Linked DNA regions of Saccharomyces cerevisiae S288C. The main gene of each other region encodes a partner of the protein of the gene in region 2 in a complex. Each region holds a gene or a part of one and is shown on either strand. Other genes may lie near its edges.

What was found.
Region 1: RSM25 (region 2) and MRP4 share a complex: the UniProt entries of both Saccharomyces cerevisiae proteins name them as parts of the mitochondrial small ribosomal subunit.
Region 3: RSM25 (region 2) and MRPS16 share a complex: the UniProt entries of both Saccharomyces cerevisiae proteins name them as parts of the mitochondrial small ribosomal subunit.
Region 4: RSM25 (region 2) and RSM28 share a complex: the UniProt entries of both Saccharomyces cerevisiae proteins name them as parts of the mitochondrial small ribosomal subunit.

The regions. Positions count from the first base shown.
Region 1 is NC_001140.6:96,666-100,903, forward strand, and holds MRP4 (mitochondrial 37S ribosomal protein uS2m MRP4), read left to right. Parts: upstream 1-2,553; coding exon 2,554-3,738; downstream 3,739-4,238. Other genes in the region: mitogen-activated protein kinase kinase kinase kinase STE20, read right to left, coding at 1-1,272; SHU1 (Shu1p), read right to left, coding at 1,678-2,130; YHL005C (uncharacterized protein), read right to left, coding at 2,163-2,555; sphingosine N-acyltransferase LAG1, read right to left, coding at 3,983-4,238. UniProt on the Saccharomyces cerevisiae protein: Component of the mitochondrial ribosome (mitoribosome), a dedicated translation machinery responsible for the synthesis of mitochondrial genome-encoded proteins, including at least some of the essential transmembrane subunits of the mitochondrial respiratory chain.
Region 2 is NC_001141.2:187,447-193,658, reverse strand, and holds RSM25 (mitochondrial 37S ribosomal protein mS23 RSM25), read left to right. Parts: upstream 1-4,874; coding exon 4,875-5,669; downstream 5,670-6,212. Other genes in the region: ICE2 (Ice2p), read right to left, coding at 1-64; rRNA-binding ribosome biosynthesis protein UTP25, read left to right, coding at 464-2,629; YIL092W (uncharacterized protein), read right to left, coding at 2,692-4,593; LYS12 (homoisocitrate dehydrogenase), read left to right, coding at 6,027-6,212. UniProt on the Saccharomyces cerevisiae protein: Component of the mitochondrial ribosome (mitoribosome), a dedicated translation machinery responsible for the synthesis of mitochondrial genome-encoded proteins, including at least some of the essential transmembrane subunits of the mitochondrial respiratory chain.
Region 3 is NC_001148.4:526,692-532,708, forward strand, and holds MRPS16 (mitochondrial 37S ribosomal protein bS16m MRPS16), read right to left. Parts: upstream 2,660-6,017; coding exon 2,294-2,659; downstream 1-2,293. Other genes in the region: histone deacetylase HST2, read right to left, coding at 1-192; CIP1 (Cip1p), read left to right, coding at 856-2,001; mRNA-binding protein RRP12, read left to right, coding at 3,032-6,017. UniProt on the Saccharomyces cerevisiae protein: Component of the mitochondrial ribosome (mitoribosome), a dedicated translation machinery responsible for the synthesis of mitochondrial genome-encoded proteins, including at least some of the essential transmembrane subunits of the mitochondrial respiratory chain.
Region 4 is NC_001136.10:1,433,472-1,439,718, reverse strand, and holds RSM28 (mitochondrial 37S ribosomal protein mS46 RSM28), read right to left. Parts: upstream 2,790-6,247; coding exon 1,704-2,789; downstream 1-1,703. Other genes in the region: CORVET complex subunit VPS3, read left to right, coding at 1-1,604; MZM1 (Mzm1p), read right to left, coding at 3,131-3,502; IZH1 (PAQR-type receptor), read right to left, coding at 3,845-4,795; serine/threonine protein kinase PKH1, read left to right, coding at 5,451-6,247. UniProt on the Saccharomyces cerevisiae protein: Component of the mitochondrial ribosome (mitoribosome), a dedicated translation machinery responsible for the synthesis of mitochondrial genome-encoded proteins, including at least some of the essential transmembrane subunits of the mitochondrial respiratory chain.

The DNA.
Region 1 (4,238 bases), on a different chromosome or scaffold from region 2:
CGGTGTTGAAACTTGAGGACTTCCCGGCAATCCTGTGGTTGTGTTGAAAGTCTTGAACATTTTATCTTCACCGTTTGTTTCCGTGACATCCTGATAGAATTTGACAATATCCATGACTGCTTGCATGTTTTGCTGTTGTTCTCTTTTGGAAATACCACTAGAAGTCAACAATTTTTCCCATTCCTCCGGCAAACCTGTGTACTCACCAGTCTTGGAGTCCACGCCCACATGGTGGATATGCTTGGCATTGTATGGCGTAGATATCCTCAAAGCGGTGGTTATAGAAGATGAGGAAGAATTATTGGACGACGATGAGGCCCTTTTATCATCCTGAGAATTTCTCTTTATATTCTGTACAAAGGACGTAAAGACATCTTTCATTCTTAGTGTACCACTATTTGAACCGCTTTTCCTTTTTTTCGAAGAGGAAGAATAATACGATTTTTCTGTTTGCTTTTTAGGTGGAGAGGAGTTTTTTAAAGGATTTTTCGAAGGAAAGCTTTTTTTCACAGAAACCGGTTTACTTTTTGCTTCAGGCTTGGACGGTTTAACTTTTGGTTTATGTTGCTTATGCTTAGGGTTCGAAAGCGAATGGGAAGCTGAATTGATCTGTCTTGGCGTGGTTGTCATCGATGGTTTAGAGATAACGGGAGTGGACACTGGTGTAGCCCTTCGTATATCAGTGGAGCTCTTATTCGAGTTTACTGTGGAAGATGCAACTGGCTGCTGGTGCTTCACTGTCGCGTTATTTTCTATAGTTTCTGTAGAATCTGTTAACGACAGTTTTGATAGTAAAGTGTCATTAAACTGGTGATCTGACTCGGACGCATTTATGGTAGAAAATGTGTTGTCAGCAGAATGATCCGGGGTTATATTGCTGGTATTTATGTTTGGAGTGACTGCTTCTAGAGATTTGGTTTCATCGATGTTAGAATGAGGACTCATGGATGAAGACATTCCACTGATGACAGAGGAGGAAGATACTCGGGTAAATTGAATAGGATCATCTAGTGAAACGACATTATTGTCATCATCATTGGTTGTCTCCGCGTTCTTCGCAGGATCCATGGATTTGTATCCACCAGCTTCATGGGCAGCATTAGTGCCTTTTTGTAAGGCATTGACGTTCAAAGTTCCAGTGGTCCTTGGTAATCGTAATCCATCGCCGCCATCGCCATTGCCGCCCATGGCCCTTTCATTGTCATTGCTGATACCGTTATCAAGACTGTCCTTGTCTGGTAGTTCCGATACAGCAGATGGATCATTGCTCATTTCTTGTATTAGTCGAGGATCTTGTGGGATATTTAGGATGGGGTGTGAGGCAGTGAAGGGAAGAAGTTTGGGTTGCTTGCTACCTCGCTCTAATTGTACGTACGGATGTATGTCTTTAAGAAAGTATGTAAGTGTGTGTAGTATGTGAGTATCTATGTAAGCATGCGTTGCTAATGCGAATTTACGGATGCCTCTTTTTGGTTTCGTATTTTTCCTCTCTGGCCAGGTGACTTTCTGAATTTTTCAGCTGCCAAAAGCGGTAGACTTTCGAATTCCCTCTCTTGGCCGTGTTTCGGGCCACGAGGCGAAAATTTTTTTTTTTTAATCGAAAAAAAAAGGAAAAAAAGATTAACGTTTCTTTTTCGTTCTATCGTCTTCTACGATATCGCATGTAACACAATGCAGCTATCTGATAATATGGTCCCAGAATCGCAATAGCCGGGCAGGCACGCTACTAGAAGGCGGTTCTGGATAGAATTCAACTTTAGATGGCAGACTGAGGCACTGCCGTAACACAAGGCTAAGTAGCCGCAGCTGTTGCGGTCCATCTTGTGTCGCGGTGAGATCCCACAATCCATAGACGAGTACATTAGAGTATTGCGGACCATTCGCCTGCGCTTGCATCCGGGTGAGGTACATGTATAAGTACTTTACCCGGCCCAAAAAAACTACGGATACCCGCTCCCGGCTTGCCACGTGACCTGCCACAGTGTTCGTAGTCACGTGCTCCTTCAGTCCTCCTAACTCTACGTACTTCCTGGCAGTGTCTCCAAGGACTATCACCAGTACGTTTGGGCTTGACTGATCCAGGCTCCAATCGCTTTCTACTAGCTGTTGCAACCGCTCTTCAAACTGCATATTGTATCCTGCTGCTGCTGTTGTTGCACCCGTTATTGCACCTGAGCATTAATATATGCGTATATGTATCTATCTATGTATATGTGTATGTGTAATATGTATACGTTTATGTTAATGCATAAACTGTAATGAAACGAATACTCACCCGCTTGCTCTCTCTCACGTATAACACACGCATACTGCCCTATTTTCCTGTTTATCTCGGTAAGAAAAGGCCGTGCCGGGTCAGAAAAGAGTGCAAGAAAAAAATCAATTCGGTAAGTGAATCCGAGAGATGAAATTTGTATGTCGTAGGTCACTGCTATATTTGATGGTAAATAATAATCAGTTCTGGCAAGTGTACATACGCTCGAGAGCCTGATTATCGCGGGGCACAAATACAGGTGATTCGAGAAATAAAAAGTGAGAAACGACTCTTTTCTCATGCAGAGACACGTTTTTGCGAGGAATTTCAGACGTCTTTCCTTATTGAGGAACCCTTCCCTTACCAAAAGGTTTCAGTCGTCAGCATCCGGTGCGGCCAACACCCCTAACAATAACGATGAGGTGATGCTGTTGCAACAGAAACTTTTGTATGATGAAATTAGATCAGAATTGAAGTCTCTATCTCAGGTACCAGAAGATGAAATATTACCTGAGTTGAAAAAGTCATTAGAGCAAGACAAACTCTCTGACAAAGAACAGCAGCTGGAGGCTGAATTGAGTGACTTTTTCAGAAATTATGCTCTGTTGAACAAGTTGTTTGACAGCAAGACATTAGATGGACAATCTTCTACAACGACAGCAGCAGCCACGCCAACCAAGCCTTACCCTAACCTTATACCTTCGGCCAATGACAAACCATATTCCTCTCAAGAACTTTTCTTGCGTCAACTAAACCATTCCATGCGTACCGCTAAATTGGGTGCCACTATTTCGAAGGTTTACTATCCTCATAAGGACATTTTCTATCCGCCCCTCCCAGAAAACATTACTGTTGAGAGCTTAATGTCTGCTGGTGTTCACTTGGGCCAGTCTACCTCACTTTGGAGGTCTTCCACACAATCCTACATATACGGTGAATATAAAGGTATTCACATAATAGATCTAAACCAAACTTTGTCCTATTTGAAGAGAGCCGCCAAGGTAGTAGAGGGCGTTTCGGAATCCGGTGGCATTATCCTATTTCTGGGTACAAGACAAGGCCAGAAAAGAGGGCTCGAGGAAGCTGCTAAGAAGACACATGGTTATTATGTGTCTACCAGATGGATCCCGGGTACTTTGACGAATTCTACAGAAATTTCAGGTATCTGGGAGAAGCAGGAAATCGACTCTAATGACAATCCCACCGAAAGAGCGTTATCACCGAATGAAACATCAAAGCAGGTTAAGCCTGACTTGCTGGTCGTATTAAATCCCACAGAAAATAGAAACGCTTTGTTAGAAGCAATTAAATCAAGGGTCCCAACTATCGCAATCATCGATACTGACTCCGAACCTTCTTTGGTGACCTACCCTATCCCAGGTAACGATGATTCATTGAGATCTGTCAATTTCTTACTAGGAGTCTTGGCGAGAGCTGGCCAAAGAGGCTTGCAAAATCGCTTGGCCAGAAATAACGAAAAATGAACACTTTTATTTTCTTTTGGCTTGTTAACCTAAACTTGTACATATGCCCATATATCCTTAAATATATATATATAGCCAACCCGAAGACGCTAAATAAACGCATTTTTTTTTTTTTTTACAGAATTATTACTTTCGTACTTGGGTTTATGCTTCTTATAACAACAACTATGAGCTATACCATGTTAACTTGGCCTTCATACAGGGGGGAAATCATATGATGATACGTATTCTCCTTAAGATACGTTTATTCACACTTTTCCTTAGATTCTTCATTTTCAGCGCTCTCATCAGAATCACTGTCACTTCTTTCGTCCTTTTGGATACCTTGCCATATCAATCTGTACAAGATTCTAAGAATTAAAAACAGCCAATACAGGTTAACTAATTGTAACGCAGCAATTAGTACAAATACAATTGGCAACGAAATCCAACATTTGTATTGTTGTGTGGCAAAATTCAACACATAATTACCTTCATGACGGAATTCTGTTAAGACTGAC
Region 2 (6,212 bases):
ACAGATAGAAACATGCTGCGCAGATTCGTCCACTCTGCATGAAGCTTTTGGACAAACTGGTCATCGTTGCCTAATCTTTAGCGTGATCGGCCACAAACAGCACCTCTCTAATAGATCTAAGCAATTACGCGATGGGCTGAGGGGAGCAAAACGGAAAAAGAAGCTTCACGAATACTATAAGATCCACCAACACTTTACGCACAGCCCTTCCAGTATCACTACACCTCGATCCTTTACCTATGTTCATCTTCTCATCAATCATCTCTCCGAAACCAGTAACCGCTCCAGTCCCTTGCTTCGCTTCAAGCTGATGCGATTCCTCGTGTACCATGATCTGAAAAATTTTTCCTTCGCAATACTACTATAATTTAGCTCATCGCATATTTTGCAATAATATAATACAGGGAATAAACTGCATTGGTTCAGTGAGACGGTGGTATAATTGCGAAGTGACCAAATTGTAATGAGTGACAGTTCTGTGAGGGAAAAGAATGATAATTTCCGTGGCTATCGGAAAAGAGGAAGACAAGAACTGAGGAAGATTAAAAGATCTTCTGCCAGAACTGAAGGCGGAAGCACAGAAACATTAGAGGACGTAGCAGAAGATATTGACCATAGATCCGATGAGGATGAAGTGTCCGATGTCGACAGTGGCGATGATTTCGATATTGAGGATGAAGAGGGTAAAAAGGAAAAAGTTTATGACGCTTTATTGACGATTCTCAAATCTGAACATCCAGAGCCAAAAAGAAGAAGGCGAGAGGCTGACGAGAGTAACAAAGCTCCTGCCGAAGTTGGGGAGGATGAGCACGAAAATACAGAACATGGACCAGTGGATGATCAATTGGAGATAGAGAATGGCCTTTTGGGTAATCACGAGGATGATAACGACGATGACAGCAGTGGAGACGAAAAAGATATAGACAGTGAAGATGAGCAAGATCCTTTCGAGTCTCATTTCAACCAAGTTCCGGAGAAATTCGTTGATAAGTTGTCGAATGCTTTCAAGACCAAAAGTGTAAAATACAAATCCGTAAAGGGCTCACTAAGTGACAGTGAATCATATATATATGCTAAACCGGTAGTAATTGGTGAGGAAGCATTGGTGGAAAGTCCGTACAGGTCATCATCTATATATTCATACTTTTTGAAACAAAGGCTAAAAGTGCAAAATGGACTATTGGATAAAAAAACTGATCCATTGACTGCTTTGCAAAAAAAATTAGTAGACCCCATGTTTCAGTATAAAGACATATTATACGAGTATGACTCCTACGAAAAGGACGAAGACGAGTACAGAGATTTATATGCTTTGCATGTTTTGAATCACATCTACAAGACAAGAGATAGAATCTTGAAAAATAATCAAAGATTACAGGATAACCCAGACACTGAACACCTAGATCAAGGTTTTACAAGACCAAAAGTGTTAATTGTAGTCCCTACTAGAGAGGTGGCGTACCGCGTTGTAGATAAGATAATTTCAAAATCTGGTATAGATCAGGTTGACAAGAAGGGAAAGTTCTACGACCAATTCCGTGACGACTCCTTACCTCCAAAGTCCAAACCAAAATCTTTCCAACACATATTTAGGGGGAACACCAACGATTTTTTTGTTGTCGGTCTCAAATTCACAAGAAAGGCTATAAAACTTTATAGCAATTTTTACCAGTCTGACATTATTGTATGTTCGCCATTGGGTATTCAAATGATCTTAGAAAATACAGATAAAAAAAAGAGGCAGGACGATTTTTTGTCCTCAATAGAGTTGATGGTGATTGATCAATTACATTCAATAGAATACCAGAACATATCTCATATTTTCACCATCTTTGACCATCTTAACAAAATCCCGGATCAACAACATGAAGCTGACTTTAGCAGAATTCGGATGTGGTACATTAATGAACAAGCTAAGCTCTTCAGACAGACAATGGTATTCACAAAATACATCTCGCCAGCGGCTAATTCATTAATCAATGGTAGATGCCGTAACATGGCAGGAAGATGGAAGAATCACAAGGTAATAGGATCAGAAAACTCCAGTATTGGGCAATCCGGTTTGAAAATCAGGCAAATCTTTCAAAGATTTGACATTATTGGGAATTCGATTATTGAAGAGCCTGACTACAGATTTAAATTTTTTACAAGTGTCATCATTCCTGGTATTGTCAAATCCACCGGGTATGAAGACGGAATACTGATTTACATTCCTGATTACACTGATTTCATTCGTATTAGAAACTACATGAAAGAGAAGACGACGATTTTATTTGGGGATATAAATGAGTACTCTAGCCAAAGACAGCTCAATGCAAATAGGTCATTGTTTCAACAGGGGCGTCTAAAAGTTATGTTGTATACGGAAAGACTGCACCATTATAGACGTTATGAAATCAAGGGTGTCAAGAGCGTCGTTTTTTATAAGCCTCCAAACAATCCTGAATTTTACAATGAAGTTGTCAGATTTATTGGTAAGAACGCCTTTCTAGGTAATACCGATTTAAACATATCCACTGTTAGATGCATTTATAGCAAGCTTGATGGTCTTTCACTCGAAAGAATTGTGGGGACGAAAAGAGCAGCTGTATTATCGCATGCACAAAAGGAAATTTATGAATTTAAATAAATATTAGCACTGCCACAATGTATAGAGTACACAATGAAGAATATTATCATTCACAAATACTTTTAATCGCTTTCTTTCTTGTTCGTTGTGTTCACAAGAAAAGGGTTTATTACTTCAGGGAACTTTCTGCTCTTAGTTTCTATATTTTCGCTTTTTGCTGAACCAGTTGCTTTATTGGTCTCTGCGTCTACCCTCTTGGACCTAGTAATACATTGAATACTATCAAAGCTTGCAGGTGATCGGAGAGTCGCATTTATGGTTTCATGCGGTGATATATAATTAGAAGGACGGTCATTAAAATGTGCACTCCTCGTGCGCACAGCAAAGTTATGCAGTGGGTAGCACTTTCGAGTTTTCAAATTAAGCATTTTGCTGTCTTCGTAAATGTTTCCTGGAATATTTCTGAGGCCCGCGATACGGCTTAGCCTATTTATTTCCATAGACACTCCAGGGCTTTTGAAGCTTTCTGATGGATTTAACTTTTTCTCCTTTTCGTTTGTCATGAACGGATTAAACTGGGCAATATCTTTAACCTGGCTACTCTTGCTGATTTCATTTTTTTTTACTGGATTACTAACTGTCGCAGAGCTTGTGGGCGGAAACATATACTCTGTTGAGGAGAAGCTATTCGATATACCACTATCTAGAACGCTCCCGATCTTTGTGCCCTGAATTTCAGCGTTTTTTTGAAATATATTTGATGTTATAGGTTGTAGTGAGTTTTTCTTGACGGCGCAGCACCTCTCATTCAAAGAACGTGAGTTTCCATCCATACGTTCATCATAAGTTGTAGTTTCCTCCTTCGTGCCTAAAACTTCATCATTAATTAGGTCAATATTAATTGTGCCTGTAACCAAACTGCCGCTATTCAAAATCGATATTGGCTCCACTGCACATTGTTGAGATTTACTGTTTTTAAGATTCGTATGGAGATCGCTTAAATTGGTGTGTCCATTTTTTGATGTGTATGCATTGGCAGAAACATTCCTAGATGTAAGAATATTCTTTTCCTCATCCATGACAAGAAAGAGCCGCATTCCAGGTTCATTTTGTTTCCGACGTTTAGGATCGGGTATGTGTTGACTGTTCTTATCAAAGTAATTTTTCTTATCACTCTTTTCAATAACCTTATTCTTACTTATAGTTTTAGTATTCGATAATTTGCTAACGATAGCAGTATTCTTACTCTTTGGAGTACAAATGTCGGAATCCCTCGTATTTTTATACCGGTATTTTTTATGATTAGATGCTCTCTTCGCAAATTCACAGGCAGTTATCAATAGTGCTAAATTCAAAGTCATTGGGAATGCACAATTTTCCAGTTGCTTTTGCAACTGTGGCTCCAATTTTGTGAGGAATAGATCCAACGCAGCACCAGAAGACAGATAATATGGAGTTAGACGTCCCGATTTATGGGCAAATGCTTCTAATGACTTCTCAGAATCAATGGACAACGTCAATAGTTCCGTAAAAATTTCCCTTCTTAAAGATCTTGCTCCATCAAATTCTTCTGATAGTAGAGCAAGAAATTTTTCAAAACTGTAAGCCTTTATCACATGGTCATCGATTCCCTCCGTTGTAGAATCAAACCATGTCTTAGCCCGGCCGGATAATGCAGAGCTTATAAGAAGTTTCAAAAACGTTCCTGTACAGCATAGTCCAAATAAGATATCTGTAATATCATCGGCCCATTGGACGAATATATTGTTATCATCACCGTCTTCAGCACTGAATTTTTTCAGATGACTCACTTTATCTAGCATTTTGAACGCTTGTTCATCGTCATCAATCTGTCTTGTAACACAAAAATTATTACACGCTATGGGCAAAGTTTCGCTCCTCTTTCTACGTCCACTGTGTCCCTTCTTGCTTCGCGGCGGCAGGGTATTTCCATTAGCTATTGTATCACTATAGTTATTAGTTCCCGACTCGTATGCCATGTTTTTGGATCTCATTTGCACCATTAAGCAAAAAGAATCTGTTGAACGAGGACCCTAACCCAAGACAGCTAATATACTGCTTTTTTATGACATTTTTCATTTGGTCTTCATTCTTGCGCATCTTCTTTGAGAGTTGAAATTTCTTTGATACTTCGGCAATTACAGAAAAGTGCAAGTTACAAGCAATAAAACCAATAATATTTAGATACTGCACAAAAGTCTAAGAAAATAACCTCATTAGAAGCTTGGAAAAGGAAGAAGGACATTGCGCACCATTCAAGAAGAAGATCTTAGAATTCTGAGAAATGAAGATACAAACAAATGCTGTAAACGTCCTTCAACGGACGTCCGCTTACTTGAAATCAGGATTGTTGAAAGAAACACCTGCGTGGTACAACGTTGTAGCGTCTATCCCACCATCAACCAAGTTTACACGTGAACCTCGTTTTAAGAATCCTTCCAATGGACACATCATAGGAAAACTTGTTGACGTAACAGAACAACCGCATGCCAACAATAAGGGACTTTACAAGACAAGACCCAACTCGAGCGACAAAAGGGTGGGCGTGAAAAGGCTGTACAGGCCACCTAAACTAACATACGTTGAGGATAGGCTCAGATCGCTCTTTTACAAACAACATCCATGGGAGTTGTCGAGACCTAAGATTTTAGTGGAAAACGAAATTGGTGATGAAAACTACGATTGGAGCCATATGCTTCAGATAGGAAGACCACTCGATGGTGAAAGTGTTATCCAGCGAACTATGTACTTAATCAAAACGAAGCAGTATGGGGACATGGTCGAAGCATATGACCATGCCAGATATGAATTCTATGCGTTGAGAATGCAAGAAGAAACAGAGCAGCAAGTGGCTTTGGAAGAAGCGGAGATGTTCGGATCCCTCTTTGGAGTTTCTGCCATTGAACATGGTATACAAAAGGAACAAGAGGTCCTAGACGTCTGGGAAAAGAAGGTAGTTGAAGAAACTGAACTAATGGCAGCAAGGACAAGTAACCCTGCAGGGTCGTGGAAGGACGACACTACATTGAATACGGCGCAAGAAGAAGAATCCACCACTTCCGAGAACCTCCACTTCTAGGTGGGCTGCCTCTTTTCTCCAACGTCACCTAACCAACCTGTATATAATTAAAAACAAACGAGAACAACACATGTAGTGCTAAGTAATTGTCGTTCTCAAATTCCACCTCGATTTTTTCAACTGCACTGAAAATTCCCACTCTTTTTTTTTTTTTTTTTTTTTTTTTTCACTTTTTTCCCGTGGAAAAATATTCTTAAGATGACTCTAATTAGAGGAAAGAACAACAAGAAACTAAACTGGTTCTACAGTTATATAAGGACATCTTAACTGATTTAGAATTAGCTAAGACTGTATCTATGCGATTATTATATTAGTGCGACATATTTATATAACTAAGATAGTAACGCACTCAAAAAGATGTTTAGATCTGTTGCTACTAGATTATCTGCCTGCCGTGGGTTAGCATCTAACGCTGCTCGCAAATCACTCACTATTGGTCTTATCCCCGGTGACGGTATCGGTAAGGAAGTCATTCCTGCTGGTAAGCAAGTTTTGGAAAACCTTAACTCCAAGCACGGCCTAAGCTTCAACTTTATTGATCTC
Region 3 (6,017 bases), on a different chromosome or scaffold from region 2:
TTCAGGGTACGGCAACTTCAACCTGGCCAAGTTATGGTACAGGCCAGTTCCCGGAGATCGGAAGTCTGGTATCCCACAAGAAGTGGATATCCCGGCACCCACCATAAAGATTACTTTAGCGTTGGGGTTGCTTTTCATATGAGCAGCGATCTTCCTAACCGACATCTCTGTAGAGGCGGTAGAAACAGACATCGAAACACGGAGAGATCGCGGTACGTCTGGTTGGTAGCTCAGTGACGGGCACAGATAGCGACATTTACTGATACAGAGACAGTTACGAAAGATGGAAACACATGCAGAGAATGTGGTCTATTCCTTATTCTTAAGATCGGCGAAGCTAACAGAGTTAATGCTGGGCCATAGCTGGACGGCAGAAAGCACGCAGGCAGGGGGCCTCTGCGTAGGGCGGGAGACGCCTCCGTAAGGAAAACGGCGCGGGAAGGGCGGCTTCTTACTACATTTTTTTGCCACTCCGGAACTCGCGCAGGGGGAAGACATATGCCCACTTTGGGAAATAGAAATGGTCATTTTAAGCTCAAGTGAAGCGAAAAAAGGAGGTATACTCCTTTACGCGTCACCCAATCTGGATAGGCACGTCAAACTCATTAGGTCTCATCAAGAACTAGTGTAGAAATGACGCTTGAACTCCGAACTTTAAACAAAGTTCTGTTTTTGTTTCTGTTTCTGTTTCCTGTTGCTGTCTCTGTTTCTATTTTTTTCGTATAGCTCTATTTCCCTTGTAGATAAACATATATAAGAATGCTATTATAGAAGCGTGTATTTTCCTCCCCCTAGCTTCAACCTGTAATTCCCTTCTTAGTAAAGCGAACTAGAACCAGTTTAATAGGATATAGAATGCTGCTGGAAAGATTGCACAAGAGATTACACGCCGGCTCTTCTAGGCGATCTCAAGAAAATAAGGACAAGAATTGCAAGCCCGAAGACGCGTTGCCCATCCAACCAGAAGCTCAACATCAAACTCAGGACCCTCAGCCGTTGTTAAATTGTGATTACGATGACATGATTGCATTTGACAGAAACTTGTCCACTCCCGTTTTCACTCCGGTAATGACTCCTATAAATAATAGCAGCTCCAATCAGGCGAAAAGCTCGGATGCCTCGTATTTTCCACCTTACCTCAATGCTAATAGAACCAGACAGAATAGCGCCTCTTCGCTGGCGAGTTCCGTTTCCGATTTCGCTCAGAATTTCAAACAACATACCTTTTACAACAATAACGCTCAATTCACTTCGTTCACACCGCAGTTTGTCGGCCTTCTATTAGAAGTTTACCAAAACACGTGCAGCGATCCTACGATAACTCCGTTTGATACTACAAACCCTCCCTCAGGAATATTGAATAGAGTTGCCAAAGCGGCTATACAGCAATCTGAGCTTCAACAATTGGATATCGGATGTGACAGAAATAGCTGGCTTTTAACATTGGTAAGACAGCGCTTGTTGCAAGAGGTCAGAAAAGACGGCTATCTTTCTCGTAACACTTCTTTAACTTCTTTACCCCCACCACCCCCACCACAGTTTTCTGAAATGCTTAGAGTTCCCTCCCCGTTTGTTAACGCAGATATTACCGATCCAATCCCCTTATCAAACACAAACTCGAATCCGAATGTAAGCTCTACTACCAGCCTGACCAACACGTTGAACTGGTATTCCTTACAAAGATCCAACGTCTCAATGAAGAATAGAAATGGCTCGTCCCAGTATATTTCAGAATTACAACCACAACCTATCTTAGCCCGCACAAATTCTAACAATAGTGTTAGCAACAGTAATGCCTTTTCTTTACTCACGCCAACGCCTACAACAGATTCCGCATTTAATTTTAACATAGCTCTGCTATCGAGACAACGTAGCAATATCATATCGTCCCCCTTAGCTAGTACTCGTTTACCTACAGCAAACGTGTCCACTGAAGAATCCTCTATTTTACCAAATGAATCATTGAAGCTAAAAAGAGATTTATTGCGTCTTAAAAGGTAAATAGTGCCGAACAGTCAGGAGCACACAATACATGACCTATAATGACACTATCTTAATGAAATTCTATTACACTTTCTCTTTTCTTCACATTCGATTAAGAATTTAATTTATTCCATTTCAAGTCTCATTCTCCATTTTCTGGTTGGCCATAGATGTATTATTTACAAGTCTGATAGATATAAAAGCGCCAAGTAAAACATATATACAACATATACATATACACCTCGCATCAATTAAAACACGTTCCTTTGCTTTCCTTTCTTTTTCTTTTTTTTTTTTTTTCCGATCTTTTTCACTCCAATGTTTCCATTCTTTCAAATACAACTTTCCTATTCACATTGCTGTTCTTACTAGTGGCCCATGCATCATTTAATATACCAGCCTTTCGTAATAGTTTAGTAACTGTTTCGCTAGGTTGTGCTCCCACACCAATCCAATATTTTGTTCTATCAAAATCAAGCTTCACGTCTTTAATAGGTACAACGCCCCTCTTCAATTCTCTCTTGGTCACTGGGCTGGGTACCGGCACGTAGGTTCCTAGTACCTCGATCGGTTTAGCATCCCTCGCCTTACGGGAATTAGCCACTACGATATTATAGACCGGACTATTTTTTCTTCCAAATCTAGCTAACCTTATTCGTACTAGACCACAGGTCATACTTGATAAACTCTATTACAATTTCTTAACGGAATACCAGTCAGAACTCCTCCGTTACTTAAGTCGTGTATATATTCCCCTTCCTTTTTTCTTACAACTGTTCTTGGTGTACTATTTCATTTTTTCCGTCCTGAATGATAGATGATCATAATTAGTGAAAATTTTTCTTTTCGCTGCAGTGTTTAAAATTTTAATTATATCATCTCATCTCATCGCGCAATTAGAACTTCCTCGGTCGCAGTTAATTCTCTCAGAGAAGAGTTTTAGTTTGAAAAGGTTCAACTTATTTTTTTACTGATTGAATTCAACCAGGTAATTTCTAGATTTTGAACAGCATCTCGCGAATTGAATCAGCAAATCTCAGAGTTCATCATGGATCAAGACAAAGTTGCTTTTCTTTTAGAGCTGGAGGACAAGCTGGCTAAAATTCGTTCCCAAGTAAACTCTAAATTGGAGAATCAAAAGCATATTGCTATAATATTAACTGCCGTTGAGGAAAATATTGCAGGTCAAGCTACAAATGATGTTTCAAAAAACATTGTAAATTATATCATTTCCTTTATGTCACTATTGGATCAAGCAGTAGACCCATCTACTCATGAAATAAAAGATATTCAATTGGCTTCCTCATCTACATATCTTCTAGATCTGATATTTCATTATTCGCCTAAGGTATTATTAAGATCGAAGTTTTCTGAAATCCTAACGAAAATTGCCCCATGTATCACTGCAGAAAAGGCTAATGCCCCTCTAATTAGAGCTGCTATTGGTTGTTTAGAATCTCTTCTTATTGCTCAAGATGCACAAGCCTGGAACAATACTTATGATCTAAACGTCACTCCAAAAAGAGGTTTGCAGGGTATACTTGAACTTTCTTTAGATGTAAGACCAAAAGTTAGAAAGAGAGCGCTAGATGCAGTTCATGCGGTCTTATTAAACCCTCCTGTTGCACCAACTGCAGAGCATGTAGCGGCAGTTTTTGTAGCAGATTTCTGTGACAAGCAGTTAGCAGGTATTTTAAATGATCTCTCGAATTTATCAAATAAACAATTGAAAGCACAGAAAACAAAGGAAGACATTAACGCTAGTGTCATGCGCTCTCTAAGGTTGATTACTTCAGTCGTCTCTACTGGACAGTGGCCATCTTCACAGATTGAGCCTCTTTGTGATGTACTATTGGGAGTCACCAAAAGCTCAGAGCAATATCTCGTTTCTGCATCATTTGAATGTTTTGAAAGCATGTTCAAAACAATGGCAGAAACTACCATTTCTTCTGGATTGGCTGAAAATAAGTACCTAAGAGTCTTGGATACCATTTTTGCATTAAAACCCTCAAATGTCGATACATTATTAACCAAGTCCTGGATTGCTGTGGTCATTAAGGGTATGTCCACTTACGCAACACATCAACCACTGAAAGCGCTACGTAAAATTCCTGGTGTATTTCACATTATGTGCACATATTTAGCTAGTGAAACTCCAGAAGTGTACCAAGCTGCCTCTCAATGTCTTATCTCAATCCTTTCTGAGTCTGTTAAAGATGATTTGTTATTGTATACACCAAGTGTGGATGAGAAAGTTTTCAAAAACGTAGATGAAATCATCTCTCAAATTGCGAAAACATTTATCGACTTTTTATCCATTAGATATTCCCATTGTTCCAGAGAAATTCTTAAGATTTTGGTGGCAGCATTCAACAAATTCAGATATAGATCTAATCCTCACTTTTTAAAATCACTGAAAATAGTCGATACATGGAGAGTAAATGAAGAACAGTTTATGGATTTGAGAAATGAAATCGAATTAGTAATCGGAGCCTCCATTTCTGCTATGGGCCCTGAAATGATACTCGCAGAAGCACCCCTGAATTTAGACAATCCATCTTCCGAAAGACCTGGCAGGGCTTGGTTGTTACCGCTTATTAGAGATTATACGAAAAATGCGAACCTTGCAACTTTTCAAAACGAATTGGCACCATACATTAAAAGTTTTCAATCTAAGTTCGATAAAGTCCCGGAAGAATCTATTCAATTGAGAGTTTTTCAAACTATTGTTGACCAAATCTGGTCTACACTTCCACGGTTTTGTGAACTCCCAATGGACTTGAGGGAATCCTTCACTGACGAATTTGCCTCAGAACTATCTTCTTTATTATACAGCGAGGTTGAGTTAAGAACTACAATTTGTCATGCTTTAAAGGTCTTGGCAGAAAGCAATGTTTCATATGCCGAAGAGTCCTCTTCTCACAACGTTTTATTGTTGCAACGTTTCCCCATTTCTGAAGCTCAAAAGAATATAGAATACCTTTCAACCAAATCAACGAATCTTCTAGCAGTTTTGTTCAATGTTTATACTCAAACCACTCCAAATGCAAGGAGTTATATTTTGGAAACGATTGATCAATATTTAAAGATTACTTCAAAGGAAGATTTGGAGAAAACTTTCAACAACGTATGTGGTCTTTTGAAGAATTCTATGAATGAAGAAAGTAGCGGAAATGTGAACAAAGAAAAGAAAAAGCCTCAATTGACAGCGACACTATTGGACTTAATCATATGTATGATAACATACTTACCTGTCTCGTCTTATTCTGCTTTATTCTCAATGTTTAGCCTCACCGTAAATTCTGCTGACGCGCTAATTCAAAAAAGAGCTTATAGAATTATTACAAAGCTTTCTGAGTTGAAATCGGGATCAACAGCTGTCGCCCAATTCATTTCGGATATTGAGAATGTCATGGTAGATAGCGCCTCCTCTGTTCAAACATCTGCTAAAGCTGCAAGATTAACAGCAATTAAAACCATAGTAGAATTATTACCTTTAGATCATCTTGATTTCATTGTTAGAACCGTCGCTGAGGTTATTTTGAGTACAAAGGATGTGAATGAAAAATCTAGAGAGACCGCTTTTGATACTTTAATTTGTATGGGAAGAAAAATGAATGAGCCAAATGGTATTATCAAATTATTCCAAATACCAGGTTATGATCCTACCACTCCAGATCAATCGTCGTCAATATCAGAGTTTTTTAAGATCATTTCTGCCGGTCTTATTGGTGAATCTCAACATATGGTTAGTAGTTCAATTACGGGTTATGCTTGTTTAGTTTTTGAATTCAAAAATGAACTCGATTCCGGTATACTAATGGATATATATGACACCATTGAATTGTACTTAACTTCTAACTCTAGGGAAATTGTAAAAAGCGCCATTGGGTTTACCAAGGTTTGTGTTTTGGGGCTTCCAGAAGAACTGATGAGGCCAAAGGTGCCAGAGTTACTTCTAAAGTTATTAAGATGGTCTCACGAACACACTGGTCATTTCAAAGCCAAAGTCAAGCATATTATTGAAAGATTAA
Region 4 (6,247 bases), on a different chromosome or scaffold from region 2:
TAGTTCCAACGCCGATGGTCTTACGTTTTACATCATGTGAAGAGTCCGAAATTGATAATATTGAAGATCAATTGAAAAAGCTTGCGAAGAAGGATTTAACAAAATTTGAGCACATTGAAGCGAAATATTTGATGTCTCTTTTATTGTTTCTAATGACCTTACATTACGATCACATAGAAGATGAGGTAATGAAAAAGTGGTGTGACTTTTCTGACAAAGTTGACATCAGAATATTATTTTATATGTTTGGCTGGAAAGTCTATAGCGAGATCTGGTGCTTCCATGGGTTAATAAATATAGTTGAAAGGTTGAAAAGCTTGAAGCTAACTAACAAATGCGAGAATATTCTAAAAATGCTTCTGATGATGAAGAATGAACTAAAGAAAAAGAATAAAACTGGACTCTTAACGAATGACTTTGATGATATAATGAAAACTATTGATATAACTTTATTCAAATTAAGATTGGAAAAAAAGGAAACTATAACTGTTGATATGTTTGAACGCGAAAGTTACGACGAAATTATCAGAGAGATTAATTTACATGATGATAAACTTCCTAGGATAGAGTTACTAATTGAGATATATAAAGAAAAAGGGGAATATCTTAAAGCACTAAATCTTTTGAGGGAAGCTGGGGATTACATTTCACTAGTTTCATTCATTGAAGAAAATCTCAAAAAACTTCCTGAGGATTATATCAAAGAAAGAATAGCCGATGATCTTCTCCTCACTCTTAAACAAGGCGACGAAAATACTGAGGAATGCGCCATCAAAAAGGTTCTTAAAATATTGGACATGGCATGTATTAATAAAAACGACTTTTTAAACAAAATACCCGCAGAAGAAACATCCCTGAAGGTATCATTCATAGAACAACTCGGTGTCCAAAACAGCAACGATTCCAAATTTCTCTTTAACTATTATTTGGCGAAATTGCGAGAAATAATCAACCAAAGTAACATATGGTCCATTCTTGGAGATTTTATCAAAGAGTACAAAGACGATTTCGCGTATGATAAGACAGATATAACAAATTTTATTCATATCAAATTAAAGCATAGTCTTCAGTGCGAAAATTTTTCCAAATATTATGAAAAATGTGAAAACTTGAAATCGGAAAATGAAAAAGATGATGAGTTTATTAATTTCACCTTCGACGAAATTTCCAAGATCGATAAAGAACACATATTGACCTTGTTATTTTTCCCCAATGAATTAACAAACTGGGTTTCTTCCGAAGAATTGCTGAAAATATATTTGTCATTTAATGATTTCAGAAGTGTAGAAAAATACATAGGCAAGCAGAACTTGGTTGCGGTGATGAAACAATACTTGGACATATCTTCTTTGAATTACTCAGTTGAATTAGTGACTAATTTGCTACAGAGAAATTTTGAACTTTTAGATGATACAGATATTCAATTAAAGATCCTCGAAACTATACCTTCCGTATTTCCCGTACAAACAATATCCGAATTGCTTTTAAAGGTACTTATTAAGTATCAAGAAAAGAAGGAGGAATCTAATTTGCGGAAATGTTTGTTGAAAAATCAAATATCCATTTCTGACGAACTAAGCCGGAATTTTGATAGTCAAGGATAAGAAGAGCCCACCTATTCTTTTTCTGTTCAGGCATACAATTCAAATTTTATACGTACTAGATATTTACAGGTATGTAAGAATGAAATAACGATGTTTGATTTACTGTTGTAATTCAGAAATTGGTTTCATTCCAGAACAAACATCATATACCAATTTCTTTTCCTCGGAGCCCATAACAACAGATTGTAATGATAACCTCACAACTTGACTATTTTGTACGAGCTTACTCACAGTATCTTTAGATTTCGTCAGTTTTTCAAAATCTTTTTTCACATATGGTTTTAAGAGTTGATATTCTCCTGTTACTTGCCTATGAAAATCTTCTGGGTCTTCTTCAATAAGTAAATTCTGCAATTGAGGCTCTTTGGCAAAAATCAAGGAGGATCCTGGTGTATATTTACCAAAGTTTGGCGTGTTTAGGGTGAAATCATGTACTTTGAGGATTCCCAAATTTGGCGATCTGTAAATGGGGTAATTGGATTTTTTCAAGCTATCTAAGGTAAAGTTGACTAATCTGGATTCCTTTGTTGGAAAAACTTGAGGAGTATATTCTAACAAAGATAAAGGAGTGGGCTCTTCTAGTACATATTCTGAACTGACAGGTCTCTTGATAACCTTCTGTAGCTGCTGTTGAGGAGCCTTTCTCCTTTTAGATGCTGTTAAGATATGACTCTTTTTTTGAAACCTTGCTTTAGATTTGGGGGTTCCATTGAAATTAACAGGTTTTTGCTCCATCGACGAATTGAAGACATCAAGTAAATCATCTTCGACTCTCGCATCTCCTTTCAAATTATTTTTGCCATTCTGCATCTTTTTGAACTGTGGCTGCATAACTACTGTATTTCCAGTAGGATTCTTTACAAAAGACGTATTAGCACCTTTATTCCACTGCTGCTTGTTAGCACGAACAGAATCACTAGAACGGTTTTTCAGTCTCATGTTTCTTTCTCCTTGATTTCCCTCTCTACCCCTGCTTTCTTTATTGTTCATACTATTCCTATTCTGATTCCCGTTTCTCCTCTTATTTTGCATTCTACCCTCCTTCATCTTGTCCAATTTGAGAGCATTGGAGGAAGCTTTTGCTGTTGCCTCTTGAGCCCTTGCTAGAATGCTATTTATGAAATCTTCTGTGACACTTGTGCTGTAATGAGCGCGACTCACACATCTAAACATGGAGGAGCGCATTTTCTACTCCGTCTATTTCTCTTATTATGGCTCGTCCAACTAGATTATTTAATGAGTTACCGCTGCCCTTTTCCTCTTTTATGCTTTCTCCAGTTTCGTTAAGTTTAATTCCGCTATAAAGCTTTGTTCATTTCCGTCAAAAGGGATAAAGCACTAGCAACTACGCTGTTTCAGTAGCACATCAAATACAACAAGCTGTATACATGTACATACTACAAACAGAACAAATGCAACGATATATCGTGCTAAATCAGTTTATATGCCACCTAGCAAAGTTGCTAGGTACTAAAAAAGTATTTACATGTATATAGCTTCGAAGATAAAACAAAATCAAGGCATTATCATTGCTTTTTATCAGAGCATTTAAATGGTCTTGCCTTTAAGTTTGTTTTCACTCTTGCCGTAGGGTCTGCAATCGTCTCATTGTCACCCAATTCGGTGTCTTTGTGAATGTTCAAATGGTACCTAGGCTCCTTAGTACTTGAGCCATCAACCTTTTTGCCCTGAACCAGGTTTCGTCTCAAAAAAACAGCCACATCCTCTAAATGTTGAATCTGATCCTCTGTGGTGAGTTTAGGATCTGGGGGACATAACATTCCTGAACGCATTTTAGCTCTCGCGGCTAGTAATACTTCAGCATCATTCCGGAAAGCTATTCGGGTTGCTCTTAAGCCATGCCTGTATGCATTCAGGGCCTTTGTTCTCGTGCTCATAGTGTGTTAAATTTATATAATTTGTTCTTTTTATTCTCTTCAGTGAAACGCAAGCGTACCGAAAAATATAAGGAAGTCTTTTAGTCCTATCCTTTTCTCTTCCTCTCTTTCCTTTGTAGTAGGTTCACTTATTCAAACGTTTAATTTTTCGGCATTACTCACTTTAGTAAGACCAAAATTAATTAGGCTAATATAGCGAAGTACCTGTCAAAATGCGATCTATGATAAAAGCATGATGTGACGAATATCTAAAAAGGAATAAAGACTTTTTTTGCATTTAATTATTTTCTAACCTTAGATATATAATGTTATTTATTTGATTTTGTAGTAGTTGTAGGCCCATCAAGGGTGGATATGAGAATGCATTAATTTGTAAGAATCGATAATGGCTTTCAAGTGGCATACAGAACCAAGAACCACCATAATATGAAATATTTGATGAGAGCTACCGAAGAAATCGAACTTCCCTGGAGCCAAAGTTTCAGGAATCCTAAACCCGTAGATTACAGCCCCTGAAATGTAAAAGAGAGCTTCCCAAAACACAAAGCTGACTTTTATTCTGTTAAGAACCCCTTGGATACCGAACTTGAAAAACCCTGTGGTCAATGGGAGTAAGCCACTAAATCCAAACAATATGAAAAACATGGCCCTAAATGGACGAAATGTGGAAGTGTTAAACTTGTCGTGGAGGACACAGACTGTACAAAATGTTGCCAGGACTAAAGTAACAATCGTGAAAAGACTGAAGTAGGATATGTGGTCGAAGTAACCAAAGTATATTATAGGGATCATAGAACAGGAAATCAAACTGATAATCCCCAAGTAGTCGAGCTTGCTCCAGAAATTGCTTTGCTTTTCAGAGTGTTGCTTCATGCAGTGGAAACAGCTACTGCACATGAGACATGAGAAAGCGCCCATCAAGAAAATGTTTATAACGGTGTAATCGGACCAGGAAGTGGAGGGGAAAACGGGAATTAGAAAGTAGTTGGTCAACGTAATGGCAAACACGAAGTATACGATAGCCGGTACCAAATGTGTATAAATGTTCACAGTCTCGTTGTTCCAATAAAATAAAGAATATAAGCACTTTTTCCATGACAGTGTTTCACGAACGTACCCGGTGAGAATTTTGTCATTATCTTTTTGCCATTCTGGCAACTCATCGAAATTGTGTAGCAGTTTTTGCTTTTCAAAAACTGTCTGGCCTGAGACAGCTTCCACCTTAATGGAGGCTCTCGTTGCCTTGCAGCAGACACTATCTTGGTTTCTTCTTCTAGTAGTGGTGATACTCATTTTTTTTCTTCTTTTATCTTGCTTGACTCAATTAAGGCGACTAATAACAAAACGAATGACGAAAATGGAAAACAATAGAAAAGTTAGGAACCAGAATCACTTTTGTAAAGTTAATATTGCGCTTGCGGAGCTCCTTACTGTTTCAACTGATGATACTGATATGCCTTTAGAAAAGAAATCAAATTCTATTAACAGAAGGGTGCCAACATGTACGTATATATATATGTGTGCGTGTGTATATATGTCTGACATATACATGAGTAACCGGCTAAGTAAGGTTTTTACGTTGATTGCTGCATCCATCGGTCGTGAGTATTGTCAAATTGCCGATGCCCTGCAGGCAAAAAAACCGTTGAAAAATCGTTGGGAAAATGGGCTTGCCCGACTGTCGGATTTAAGGGCTTGGACCCTAAAGGTTGCATGATAAGACCTACTTATTTTAGCATATAACCCTATAAAGGTGAAAATCTCAGTAGGGTTATTTTCGTTTAAGGGAGCATGAAAAATTCAAGTTAGTACATATTAATGGCTTTGAGATATTGCGGAGTGACAACAAGAGTAATACAGAGCAGGCGAGAAAGTAACGCTGGACAGTCACTATCTGGTACAACTTGCGCACGTGTACTTGCTTGAATACTGCTACTATATCATTAATATGGGAAATAGGTCTTTGACAGAGGCAGACCACGCCCTGCTGTCCAAGCCCTTGGTACCGACATCTGCGGAACATACACAAACGCAAGAGTATCCTCGTCCTTTCGTAGATGGCAGCAATTCTCAGAGCGGGTCTGAACTACAGGCTTCTCCACAAGGTCAGTTTGGAGAAAAGGCATTGACTAGTACTAATCGCTTCATTCCCCTGGCAAATGATGACCCGGGTATGCAGCACGAGATGGGTCTTGATCCCTCAATGAGGCGTAGAAGAGAAGAATGGGCAGAACGTGGTGCGGCAAAAATCGTCAAAGATGTTGTCGACCCAGCTACGGGGGAGTTAACTAAGCATGTTGTCAAGATGGGAATAAAGGACTTCAAGTTTGGAGAGCAACTCGGGGATGGATCATATTCTAGTGTTGTTCTGGCTACCGCCCGTGATTCGGGCAAGAAATATGCAGTAAAAGTGTTGAGTAAAGAATATCTGATCCGTCAAAAAAAAGTTAAATACGTCACAGTGGAGAAATTGGCTTTGCAGAAGCTGAATGGCACCAAGGGCATATTCAAGCTTTTCTTCACTTTCCAGGACGAGGCAAGCTTGTATTTCCTTCTAGAATATGCCCCCCACGGTGATTTCTTGGGCTTGATTAAGAAATATGGATCTTTAAACGAGACATGTGCACGCTATTATGCGTCGCAGATCATCGATGCCGTTGACTCCTTGCATAATATCGGCATTATTCACAGGGATATCAAGCCCGAAAACATATTGCTCGACAAAAATATGAAAGTGAAGTTGAC